Linked DNA regions of Rattus norvegicus. The protein of the gene in region 1 interacts with the protein of each later gene in a biochemical or structural test. Links are inferred from orthologs where the notes say so. Each region holds a gene or a part of one and is shown in the gene's direction. Other genes may lie near its edges.

What was found. The genes of interacting proteins can lie anywhere in the genome.
Region 2: the proteins of Nrip1 (region 1) and Thra form a complex in vitro, tested with the Homo sapiens proteins (4 studies listed by BioGRID). The link is inferred for Rattus norvegicus from reciprocal best matches to the Homo sapiens genes NRIP1 and THRA.

The regions. Positions count from the first base shown.
Region 1 is NC_086029.1:28,462,059-28,468,733, reverse strand, and holds the start of Nrip1 (nuclear receptor-interacting protein 1), read left to right. Parts: upstream 1-2,321; 5' UTR 2,322-2,499; intron 2,500-6,675. UniProt on the Homo sapiens protein: Modulates transcriptional activation by steroid receptors such as NR3C1, NR3C2 and ESR1. Also modulates transcriptional repression by nuclear hormone receptors.
Region 2 is NC_086028.1:84,195,537-84,201,966, forward strand, and holds the start of Thra (thyroid hormone receptor alpha), read left to right. Parts: upstream 1-2,604; 5' UTR 2,605-2,736; intron 2,737-2,916; exon of another isoform or gene 2,917-3,071; intron 3,072-6,430.

The DNA.
Region 1 (6,675 bases):
GGTAAGTGAAGCTTGAAATGTCTTCAGTATATGTGCGTGCGTGCGTGCGTGTGTGTGTGTGCAGGGGCCTGAACCCATTGCCTTACACATACTAGCCAAGTATGCTTTATCTCTTTGCCTCATCCCTATCTTAGTTTTACAAAATTGGGTCTGGTTTTGGAACTTCATTGTCCTTGAACTTGCTAAAAAGTCCTAGATGACCTCCAACTTCCCACTTCCCGTCTCAGCCTCCCAGTTGATTACAGCCTTGTACCACTGTGGCTAACTGGACGCATTTGTTGAATCTGCTATAATCTACCACAAAGATGACTTTTAACAAAACTGACATTGGGTTTTCAAAACAAAACCAACAACAACCAGGCCCAATAAAATGAGATACATTTAGAATGTCTTTGTATAATATTAAAAAAAATTTGAAGAGCTAAGTTACAATCATTCTGGTCATTTAATTTGTAATCATTTGCTTTGTGTCAATCCGGGATATATGCTGTCCAAAAGATAATGGTGCCTGGGACAAGTGCTGCCTTTACTAGTTTGCTTTAAGCAGATTTTGAACAGTGGGAAATGCACGTGCTATGCTGTTACATGAGATTTACACATTAGATGAAAACAGATTGCAGAGGTGAATCTCTAGGAGAAGAGAGAGTATTTTAATATGTACTATCAGCATTAAGCAAAAATACTTCTAGCATGCGCTCAGGACTGAGCTAGGGTATAGCTTTATGAAGAATTAATTTGAAAAATTGCCTTTACTTTAAAGATTGGGAACATACTCCAGACCCTGCTCATTTGAAAAATCGGAAAAATAGCTATAGAGCTATTATATAACAGTAAAGAACACAGTGGGGTCCCTTGGATAATTTTTGGTTTCGGTGTACATCAATAACTGCTTCCGAAGGCTACCGAAATTCCTAAGAATATGAAAACGTGTGTATGAGAGTAGACAGCTTCATCCACAAAATTGTCTTAGTCAGTAAGTATTTTAACACAGGCATAGCACTTCAGAGTTTAGGGTGAACCAAAGATGTACTTTAGAGTGGTTTTTTTGTTTTTTTTGTTTTTGTTTTTGTTTTTTTTTATGTCAAGCGAAAACAACTTCTGCAAATGATTCTTTTCATGGCAAGATGCTAGAGTCAAAAACAAACGTGACATCTGGGGTAGGGGGAGCGTTAAAAGGAGGCTTCACAAGTAACATATGAAGGGAGTAGAGAGAATAGGATTTTAAAGCAGAAAACACAAGGAGAGGAAGAGATCACGGTTTCGTCTTTTTCTCTCCTCCCTCCACTTTCTAGCCTCACCAATCTGTTAGCCCCCCTCAAATTCAGAGGCGGGTTCAGCAAGACCAGGCTGCAGGAAACCCAGGTTTCGCTGCACTGCCACCCTGGCTCCGTGATGTAATTGTTATTTATTGAGACTCTGAACCCAGCAGAGCTGCTTAAAGAAGTGCCAGCCCATCTTCTAGTCCTGTTGGGTCAGATCCTTCCTGGGGGTGGTGCAGATTGGCGGGCAGACCCTACTGGAGACTTCGCAGTGACAAAGCAGCAGAAGATAAACCAGGTTCCTGGGTCCTGCGTCCGTCTAGGGAGCTGAGCTGTGCACTCCTCAGGTCTCCTTCCCAGTTTTCCGCTTGCAATCATGCCATATTTATTACTGGGTCCTACTAGGTGCTGAGGATGGGGTCAAAATGACCTAGAGTTATAGCGCCGTGGCTTCCGGAATTTAAGCGGGACACAGATTTCAAGGAGGTGGAAAATTGAGGGTGGGTAAAGGGCTCCAAGAGAACGCGTATTTGTGGGTTGAAACGGGAGAAAGGGAGACATTTAAGGTGCCAGCCCTTAGGTGGGGAACCTGGGGTAGGGTTAAGGCGCCCCGACTCCCCTTTGGTGCCCCCAGCGTTTGCCCCCGCAAGGGTGACATGGGCTATCGCCTGGCCCCTAGCGGGGAATCTGTCCAGGCGGCTGGCTGGACGCGGCTGGGAAGCCAGGGCGCCGGCTCGGGGAGCAAAGCACCCCCCTTCTCCGGTTCAACCGCGTCCTCCCTCTGCCTTCAAGGCCGCTCAGACCCGGACCCCCACCCGGAGCACCGGCGAGAAGGCCTGCAGACGCCGGGTGGGCTCCCGGGCTCCGGCAAGCCGCCGGGTGCGCGCTCCGCCCGGGTGACAATGGGAGGGAGGGGCAGAAAAGGGTTAAGAAACTTGGCTGAAGAGCTGAATGGCGTGGAGCAGCGAGGGGAGGGACCCGGCCGCCGCGAAGTCGGCGGCGGAGGGAGGAGCGCGGCTGCGGCGGGCGGGCGGCGAGCGAGGCGCTCAAAGTCAGCCTCGCAGACATTGCAGCAGAGCCCCGAACTCGGGAGGCGACGGCGACCGCGGCGCAGGCGGAGGACGAGCCGGCCCCAGCCCGCCGGTGCGCAGCGCCCGTGGCCTCGCGCGGCCGCAGGGCACGGCTAACCTGGGAAGGAGGGAGCGACGCGGATCGGCGGCCCGGAGCCGCGGCGGCCTCGGTGAGTGGCGATCGCGGCCCGGGCTCCGTGCGGAGCTCGCTGAGCGGACGCCGAGCCGCCCGGGCACGGCCTGGGTGCGCGGCCCGTGGAGGCGGCGGAGGCCGGGGGAGGCCCGCGGGGGGCTCCAGGGACACGGATCCCGGGGACAGCGCGCCGCCGCGCCCCTCTCCGGCTCTCCCCGGGAACTCGCGGGCCCGGCCGGCGCAGCCGCCAAGTTGTGGAGTTCCCAGCCGCGGGCTCGTCCGTGCCAGCCTTGGCGCGAGGGGCGCAGCCGCCCTGGGTGTAATGCGCCGGGACCCACGCGGGTGGCCGGATCGCGGGGCCCGGGTCGAGCTCGCCCGCCCGCCCGGCTGCCCCCGTTGGCCCCGAGCCCCGGGCGCTGGCTGCAGCCCCGCTCGGTCCTGCCGCCCAGCGGTGCTCGCGGTGGCGCCCGCGCAGCTCCCCGCCTATCGCCGGTTTCTCCCTTGCGCGGTGCTCGCCGATTCCCGGCCGGGAAAAGTGACTCGGAGAAGGGACAGCGCTGAGCCCCAGGCCCGGCCTGCTGGGCACGAGCTCCCCGCCTGCCGAGGAGGGCGAGGCCCCTTGCACCCGAGGCCTCAGCCCAGTTCCCCCAGCATCCGAGAGGGGTTCACTCGGGTGAGCCTGGTGAAGTCCTGAGAGACTGCTCTTCTCTCTGGTGCCACTGTCCTCCTTACTACTATTGTTGCTAGAAGAAACCCTCTTCCGCGGAAACATTCCCCTAGACCCTCCCATCCTTCCCAAAGTAGTTTCCAAATTTTAATCAGGAGTTGATATTCAGACGGAAGGAACAAAGGAATCCACTGTGTTTAAAAGGCGGACAGGCAGTGAGTCTGACACATGTTGATCTCTGAGGCATTCCACGAGTTTCTACCTTCCATCATGTCAGAAATTTAATTGGATTCTGGCGGTCGCAAACGAAGTATGAAACGTTAGGTAATTTTACGTTAAAATACTTTACTTTTTTAAATTAATGGATCATTTTAGTTAGAGGGAAGTCCGGACATTGTTAGGTGCAAGAACTTTTAACTCTTTTTTTTTTGATGGCACCAGGCTGGAGTTTGTCTGCTCTTGTAACTGATTGTGACACTGAGCGAAAACAGTGTTTTTAGAGAAAGAGAGACAGTCTAAAAGTAAAACAAGATTGGAGTGTCTGTGTGTCTGTCTGTCTGTGTGTATGCTTAAACGATGTGTAGTCTATCTCTTGGGTTTTGTAAAGCAGGGACTTCGGTAATTCATTCTTTAGAGTTATGAATTACATTGAACCCGCTTATTAGTGAATCATGGGTTTAGCAAGTGGGCGGCATCTTCCAGATGCAATTATCCAGTGTTTAATCATCAGGTTGCCACCTTTGTCTAAGAGACGGAGTCGACTTTTTAAGCAAACGGTGGGTGCTTCACATGCATGGCCCCTAAGAGTGGCTGCAGCCTGGGAAAATGTTGAAATCTTCCCCTTCCAAGTGAGTTGCCCTGGTTTGGCCCAGCAGTTTGTCCATAGGGTTTAATTGATCCAACAGGAACTTTCTGTGTAGGACTTAGTAGAGACAAAGGAGAGTCAGTCATGCCGCAGGCAATACCTGCAAACTGGAGCCTCACCCCAGCCTGTTCTATACTGTACTGGGAAGACTCCACACTTAAAGTACAAGGAGCGAGAAGAAAATATCCTTAAAAAGTATACTTCAAAACTCTAAGGAGGGCTTCGGTTGCTGCTTATATACAGGTAGTTGAAAACCAGCTTTCATGCCTACGAGAAGACTTAGAAATCTGAGTTTCCAAACTTTGCAGAACTTGGATTTTTGTAATTGAGATACCTGAAAATAATTGTGGGTTAGCAATGGAGAAATGTTTGTGGATGAGGCCAGGGCTCCTCTGACTCCTCCAGTTTTAAGAGCAAAACGTTGTGATTAAAAAAATAACCTATACCACCACCTAGAGTCTGTTTGTTAGTTTATTGCTCTTGGAGTTTGCTTACATTGACGTGTCCCTCGTGGTTACTGTATAGTCAAAACAAGATTAAGGAATTCAGGCTTTTCAGAGGCCATCCAGGAGAACACTTATTTAAGTAATGCATAGCAAGTGCCAATTTAAATTATCCACGACACTTTCAGAACCGAAAATTATGACATATCAACTCAAGTGGGCCAGTCTCCGAAAGATACTAATTCAAAAGAAAAAAAATTTAAAGACAGCTTCTTTTAGCTTGTGCTCCAAGGTGGCCCTGAGTGCAAAAAGATTTCCTGTGATACGAGAGATTCAAGAAATGTGACAAAATAAGTGTTCTCGGTGCCTTTTGAGGTTTTTTTTTGGGGGGGGGAGGGCGACAAAAGCGATGACAAAAGTATAGAGAGAGGGATGTTGCCATTACCAACATTTTAAACACTGAGAAGGTTAGAGAGACGGTAGACCGTCTTGGAAGCTGGGATAAGGTGTTTGGGAATACAGTCAGTGAAACAGTGATAACCTGTCCTACTGGAGGTTTGTGAGTGGCAAAGCAGTCTGTTAAACAGGAGGCCTGAGGGCGGCAGCCTCTACCCTTCTGCTTATCACATTGTCCGAGGAGGAAGTAACGCTCCTCCTCTAACCGTCTAGCCTGAAAGATGGCCTCCAAGATCTTTAATTAAATATCAGTCGAACAGAGAGAACTAGAGCACTGCCTTAATTCTGTCAGACATCACTATTTTAGAACATTGAGGACAACTAAAAATGAATTAACTCATATCTGAAAGCAGAGTTTTGAGGAAGGTGACAGATGAGGCAAAATATGTCAGTCAGTCTAATGGAACACATAGGGAGATCAGGATAGATATGCCCTCCTTGGCTCTCTAGACAGTTGAGAGAAAAGGAGATTATTATTAATCACATGCGTTTCATCGCAAAGCAGCAGCAGCAGATCATGACACGGAGATCTTTTTGAATCAGTGTGGCTTAGGACCTAGGAGGTTAAAGGTGTTAGATTTTTCTTTTTTTTTCTTTTTCTTTTGGTAAGTCTGAAGATGGCAAGCCACTCCCGTCTTTCTAGACCAGCAATAACACTTTGATGTATGAAGTTAAAAGATCACTCAGCTAAAAATACGTTTAAGGCATTTAAATTTTAATCAGGAAAAAAAAATTGCTCATTTTAAACTGCGACGAGTCGAGTCCCTTTTCTCTTTTATGTTGTAAAATGTAGGCTTCCTGACACGGGTTTTTAAAGTGTGGGCTGGTCACTTGGGTTCTCTTTCCACCCCCACTCCCTCTCCCTTTCCCTCCCTCTCACCTCCCCTCCCTAAAATAATCAAGTACCATATCCTTCACCATTTTCCCCCATCCCGTGAAGACTGCTTTAACTTGTTGACTTTGTGTGTGTGGGAGGGTGAAGTTTATCCTGTACTTTTCCACCTTTCATTTCAGATGACTGATACCCCTCATCTATGGGCTCCACATTTTCCAATGATGCCTCACTCACGCAGGGATGATGACTGAGGAAAAAAGCATTTGCTGTCCTTAGCAAAACCCTGGGCGCCCTAGTCATCCAACCGGAGACAACATTTTTATTTAAAATATCTTGACTTCCGTTGAAGAGTTAATGAATTATCTTTGGACAGAATGTGGCAGGGTCCTTCCTGGATCTGTGAATTAAACCATTTGGTTGTAGTTGTTCAAGAACCCAGGGAAGGGCATGCTCATTCAGTAGTAGTTAGAGAACAACAGTCGGAAACCTAACGCCAGAGCACACTGGGACCAGAGGAAGGTAAAAAGCCAGGCTCGTCAGGGGAGGAAGCAGCCAGTGGGATGGACAAGCGGTGAATGGAGAGAGACCCTGTTTCCCATTCCTGTTTGCATCTGATGCTGAAGCGAGGATGCGAATTGCTGATGGCAATGGATTCCCTTCTGTGAGGCCAGCAATATTACGTAAATCGTGATTGTTCGAGAGGATGAAATGAGAAGTTCTCCATTTGTGCAGATTCACATTTGGTTGTTGAGTGTTAAGTGTATCTCAAGTAGAAGGTCAGAATTGGGTACCAGAATAGAACCAACCAGGAGGTCCATCCTCGGGAGGAAAACGAACATTATCCCCCTTTCCTTCTGTCTGTCCTTCTGTAAGACCTGGAGTTTTATAAGTCTTGCTGTGGACATGGGAAACTGAATTTTGAGGCTTGGGGCTCATGGGGCTCTTAA
Region 2 (6,430 bases), on another chromosome or scaffold:
GAACAGGAGCTGGGGATGAACTGAAGTTGAGAAGAGCTAGAAGCTTCAGGAAACAGGTGGGCAGGAGGAGCAGGTGGTAAGAGGGATAATGCAGCACCAGGTCAGGTGCCCCTAGCATCTGGTGAGAAGCCAGCTCTGGAGGCAACTCGTCCTTCACATTGCCCTTGTCCAGGTCTGTTATCTGCCCATATTGGAAACTCAGAGAAAGGTGGCGATAGGGAACCTTTGTCTTTTAAAAGTTCAGTGTGACCCCCGACTGTATTCCTGGCTGGGGCTGGTTGAAGGTGGGCTTTGTAAGTGCTTAGTCGGCAAGATCTCTCCTAGAATTTAAGGAAGCAGCAACCTTCGTCGTTAGAGCCTTACATCAAGACAGATGTGGTGGGAGAATGACTGAACGAACTAGCCTGGTGTCGCATGACTTTAATGCCAGGACTCGGCACTCAGGAGGCAGAGGCAGGAGGATCACCGAGTTCCAGCCTGACAGTTAGGGCTCCGTAGTAAGTTAGTAGCAAGACCCTGTCTTTAAAACAGACAAACAAGCAAACCAGCAGGCATATCCAGTAAAACGAGGCAAACAACCAACCCTGCAGACCATGAAGAGAGACCACCTTAGTGCCCTGGGTTTTCTCAATCCTTGTCCTAGTCCAGATTACTGCTGAACCACAACTTCTGGGTCCTGCCTATCCAGGCAAACTATAATTGTATTTCTCACAACTTGAGATTATCCCTTAGCTCCTCTGGTACCCCAATCCCAGGAGACTACTTCCCCGTGAGCATGGACCCTGAGCCTGTACACCGCCTTGCTCCCCAGAGTTTCAACCAAATTTGATTATTGTCCAGGTGGCTTCGATTGGCAGACAGCCATCCTGCGTTGCCTCAGCGCACCAGAGAACACAGTGCTCTAAACTACAGCTGTTGCATGCCCACTGGGGGCCGGGACTGAGCAGGTTTATTTACTGTTTGCTGACTCTGCACACTACAGCCTCAATTCCCCACTGCAGCTGCCACTGTACAGTGCAGGCTTCTTTCAACCATTGTGTGTGTCCCTCCGTCCCCCCTTCCCATCACCAGTAACCGTAGGCTTCCCCTTCATTTCTTCCTCACCCAGCGTCCCTCCTTTTGTATCAGGAGCCCCACGAGAGAGGCATTCTCCCTTCTCCTCATCCCTTGCAAACCCTTAAAACCTCTTGTACGAGAAGTGACTCCGTTGGCTCAGGGTGTAGGTGGCTGAGACTAGGATGAGCAAGGACAGCCCGACTTGGATAGACTGTTGGTCAGCATCCCACTCAGCAAACGATTCTATCCAGTATGAACGGTTAGAAGAGCAGCTCCCCTGACACACTCTCTGGCTCCTCCCCAAGAGCAGGCTGTGGAGGCAGGGCTCCGCCCTGGGAGCCGTGGGAAGGCTATGGCCCCCGCTGGTAAAACTGGGCTAATGACAGCGGGGGAACCGGCGGGGCCAGAGGGGGGTGCTAGGGTAATTAGACCTCTGCCTGGCGGTAGTAGATCCCGAGATGAAAGGGGCTCTGGCGTCACTGGCAGGATTTTATGTCCATGAATGCAGGTGTGTGTGTGTGTGTGTGTGTGTGTGTGTGTGTGTGTGTGTGTGTGTCTCGCACGTGCGTGCGCGTGCGCGCGCAAGGGTCCGGAACTGGCATGGAGACCTCTCCTTTGAGAAAACGAGTCCACCTTTCTGCAGTCACTCCGCTCCTTAGGTTGGCTCTTGAACCATTTGGTTTTTGATGGTACAAACGGGAGAGGAAATATCACCTCAGTGAAGCTGGGAGATAAGGGGCTGTCTTGTCCTAGCCAGTCTTGTCCGCCCCCATTCCCCAAGCTTGGCATAGGAGTATATTGTTGGGGAAAGGATGGTGGGCAGTGAATAGAAGAGCTTCTATGGAGAACAGAGACGTTTGCAAGAGGAGGCAGTGGATCCAGCATTAATGTTAAAAGACGAGAGAGGAGGCACAATATGGAACCACCCTCCAAAAGGGCTGGAAAATAGGATGGTTGAAGTTAGGAGGATTTCAGAAGTAATCTGTGCAACTCTTGGATTTTGAGCTCTTACCCTGAAAGCTGTAATTCGTTCAAGGTCACACAGGGGAGTTGCTCCGAAAGAAGGGACCCGAACTCTGAAACAAACTACCCTTAGCATTTGGTATCTGGACTTCCTCCCGGATTTATAAGGTGTAGAGATCTCCTCCATCCTTCTCCCCTTACCCCAGGGAACAAACCAGAAACCCCCCCAATTCTCCCCGCGAGTGAAAGCTATTATATCTGAAAATGACATCTTTCTCAAAACGTTTCACCGAGCGTCGCTCCTGGACAGAGCCGCAGGGGGGATGAGGTGGGTGAGTCTGAGCCTGGTAGGGGCCAAGGAGGTAGATGTGCTGCGGGGCGGTAGGCCAGGGTCCCGGGAGCGGCGGGGGGCGAGGGGCGGGGACCGGCGGCTTCTAGGCGGCCTGCAGGGAGCAGCCGCGAGCCGGCCGAACGCGCGGAGCTGGAGCCCCAGCCGGAGCGGGGCGGGGGAGGGAGGAGCCAGAGCGGCCGCCGCCTCTGCCGGAGGAGCCGCGGGGCCGCCACACTCGCCCCCCGCCCCCCCGCGCTCACTCGCACTCACACCCCGGCGCTGGAGGCGGGCGGCCCGGGCCCCACCGGCCCCCCATGGACGCCCCCGGCACGGGGCGCTGAGACCCCCGCGTCCTTGCTCAGCTCGGTCCAGCGCGCCAAGCCGAGGTAAGGAGGAGGGAGCGAGGGGGCATTAATATGCAAATGCATCGCGATTGATTATGCAAAGCCGCGGGTCTCTGGCCAGCTCGGAGGCGGGCTGGGGGCGCCCAGGGGGTTCCCGCCGCCGACCTCAGCCTTTCCCGGCGCCCGGGTGACCCTGTCACAGCCCGAGAGCTAGTCACTTACGCCCTGGGGAAGGAAGGTGCTGTTAAGTGGTCGGTGGGCCCTGGGGTTCGCCCGCGGAGATGGCGTCTGGGCCTCCCCTTCGAGGGCCCGCCCCGGCCTCTGTCCGGCCGGTCTGCTGCGCATTCCCGGGATGGGCCCCGCTGCCTGCCGAAGCTCCCCCGCCCGCCGCGCCGCGCCGCGGTTTGTTTACGGTGTGCCAGAAGCCTGTCGTGTACCCCCCACCCCCACCAAGCCCCCAGCCAAAGAGACCGAATAGCCTTTGCAAAGCTGCCTCTAGCTACGGAGGGCAATGTGGGTGCGGCAGGGTGGGGGGGCTTGCATGGGCTGGGGGAGAGAGAAGCCCCCCTCCCCTCCCCACCTCTCCAGTTGAGCATGGCTTTCTGGTTGCAACACTCCTAATTGCAAAAACGCGGCGGGTGGGGTGGAGTCGGGGGGGGTGGAGTGTGAGCGTGTAGTAGTGGGGGTGTACTTGATGGTCCCTGGATGATTAGAATTGCTGGCCTGTGGTTGGGGAAGAGAGGAAGAAATGGACCCGTGGTGTGTGTGTGTGTGTGTGTGTGTGTGTGTGTGTGTGTGTGTGTGTGTGTGTACACGCGGGCACGCGCGCCTGTGCATGTTTCCCCTGTTTCCCTCCCTTTGCAACGTGTCTCTGATGCCCCTTTTCTGTCTTGGGCCCTCCCTTGTCCAGTGTGAAAAGAAGGCCTGGGAAGATGTCAGAGGCAATGGAGAGAGCCACCCATTTTAGGGACTGGAGGGGGAGCACACAGAAGGAAAGCCAGGGAGATGGGAGCCTGCCCCAGAATGCTGGCTCTGGACCCAAGAGGGGGAGGGGATGAAGGGGGCCATTGTCCAAGATGAAGGGGGAGGCAAAGGTGACATGCAGACACAGATATGCCTACACAGACAGCCACATGCACACTCGGGGACACCCAGGCAGATTCAAGGACAGGAGCTGCTGGACACACCCACATGGGGACAAGGGAAGAGGCAGGCCGCCACTGCATAGTGGAGCTCCTGGGGTGGGACACACCCACGGGAGACCAAGAGCAGAGCGGAGAGACAGCCTATGCACATACCCACGCACAGGTTCACAGGGAGCTGCTGTCACACACCGGGGTAAGGAGGAGTCGCTGTCACCCACACCGAGAAAGTCACTATCGAATGCATGCATGCATGCACACATGGCAATTTGCACACAGCCCCACGACCATAAAAGACTTTATCATTCAGAAGCACACACATGTGCACATGTGCCCAGTCGTGCAGCAGCCATCATTGCTTGCCATGACAGTCACTGTCACTCAGGCAAACAAACAAACAAACAAACCTGAGGCTACACATCAATACATTTGTACACAATTTAGCAACAAGTATTTTCCTGGATTCATCTGTGGAGCTGAGGTTCTGTAGACAATAAAATCCCTGCTACGGAGGAAATCACCTTCATCTGTGTTAAAAGACTTTTCTGCAAAAATGGTGCAAAGCATGCATTCCTGATAAAATAGTTTCATTTCTGTCACTGGCCATACCAGTTACTAGATGGCAGGCTCCTTAAGACATGGGAGAATCTCTAGAAGAGCCTGGATCCCACCCAGAGCCTAGCACAGTATGTGCTCTGTAAACACTTGTTAATTGATTGACTGTGGGAACTCTAGGCACAGGTGCACTTTTTTACACCTAGTCTCACAGGTGCAGGGGCCATGCACAGGGCTCCGACTGAAGTCACAGGTCCCACCTGGCAGTGTCCAGATAACCCTGCAGGTTGACACATTGTAGCTGGGGGCGGGAAGGCGCTTAAATGCACATAATCACAGACTTTTCTCTTTGGCTTCTTTCTATCTTTTAGGCTCTGGCACTGTGTAGCAATGGGCTCCCCCCCTCCGCCCCCTCTTTAGAGGGACAGGGGAAACAAGAGCAAAGTGGGTGCAAGGGGGTTCCAGAGGGCCGAGTCATAGGCCTGCAGCAGTGTCCAGTGACTTCTAGCAGCTGGGTTTGTCCTGGTTGCTGGGGGAGGGGTGTCTGGGGAAGAGTTGGGAGTGGCTCTCTGGCCCTCTCATCCCTAGCCTGTAAGCCAGTGTGGACCTAGCTGCCTCTGCTTGGGGTCATTTGGCTGGGCCTTTCCTGGGGACCCTTAGTTGTCCCCAGCTGAGTGCTAGCCTCCCACTGCGAATCCGCCCCTTTTCTCACCTCTGGCCCTCCTGTCCAAACTTGGAAGCTTTCCTTAGGAGGCCGTAAGCTGGCGAGTGGCTGAGTGAGTGAGGTGTATTTTTGACTTGGAATTTCTCTCTAACTCCGTCTCTCTCTCTCTGTTGCTGTCTTGGGGTGTCTGACTCCTGCTGTTCCTCCGCCAGTTTGTAACGTTCTGTCTTGCCCTGTGCTCCTCTCTGTTTCTGCCACGGCCTCTTTTCTCCAAGCTGGCAACAACATTCTTCATACTTTTCCAGTTGTTAATACTCAGATTCAGGCCCTCTGGCCCGCCCAGCCTTCCTCTGGGGTCAGTAGGAGGTTGGGGGGGGGGCGTGCTCAGCTGGCTGTTCAGGACATCCTGCGCTTCCTCAACGCCACAGCTGTGGCTGGCCAGCAAATTTTGGGGGCTGGGAATGGGGAGGGAAGGGGAATAGGCTACTGCATGTGTTGACCCCTCAAGCTGGCAGGCCCATCCAGCCAACCTTGGTCAATTCAGTGAGAGGACCTTAGGTTCAAGCCACAGCTCTTTAAGGAGCCAGCGAGGAGGCTCCTCCCCTGACTGGACCCAGGCGGGGTCTGAATTAGAACTCGGGGCCTTTCTTCACATCCCTAGCTTCTGAGACCCACCTCAGAGATGTCCCGACAGCTGTGTCTTCTTTGCACAGCTTCATGCTTGGTTCTGAGGGTACAGCTGTTTAGACTGTGCCAAATTGGGTGAGGGGAAGACCGTAGCCCACACAGGAGAACAGAAAGGGTGGCTCTTTCAGGGAGGGAAGTTGAACAGAGGCTACTGGTACAGGCGCCCCAATGCCTGTGGGGGAGAATGCATGGTGGGGGGGACTAACATGCCTGACTACGCACCCTGCAGCCTTGGCCTGCTTGGATAAGAATGCGTTAGTGATGGTTGTTGTAGAGTACTCCTAGACTTCAACAGAAAGACAAATGGAGGTTTGTCACAGGGGCTACGGGGCCAGACGAAAGGACAAGGTATCCTTCTAGCAGGACCCACTGCGGGGTTTATGTTGTCATGGTTAAAAGCGGGATTTTGTTGTTCACTTTGGAGCTCAACTGCCTGGATTTGAACCCTAAATGCCTCCCGATAAGTGTGTAACCTTGAGAAGACTTTGATTTCCTTCTTGCCTTATCCGTAAACTAGAGATGATAATATCTACCTGGTTTAGCTTTCCACCTGTATAAATGCTAAACTACACTAAGTGCTTGGGGAGCTAAGTCAGGAGTTTCAAGGCCAGTCTCACCTGCATAGAAGAGTCGAAGGCTAGCCTGAGTGGCATGAGGCCCTGCCTCAGACAGACAGACACATATATAC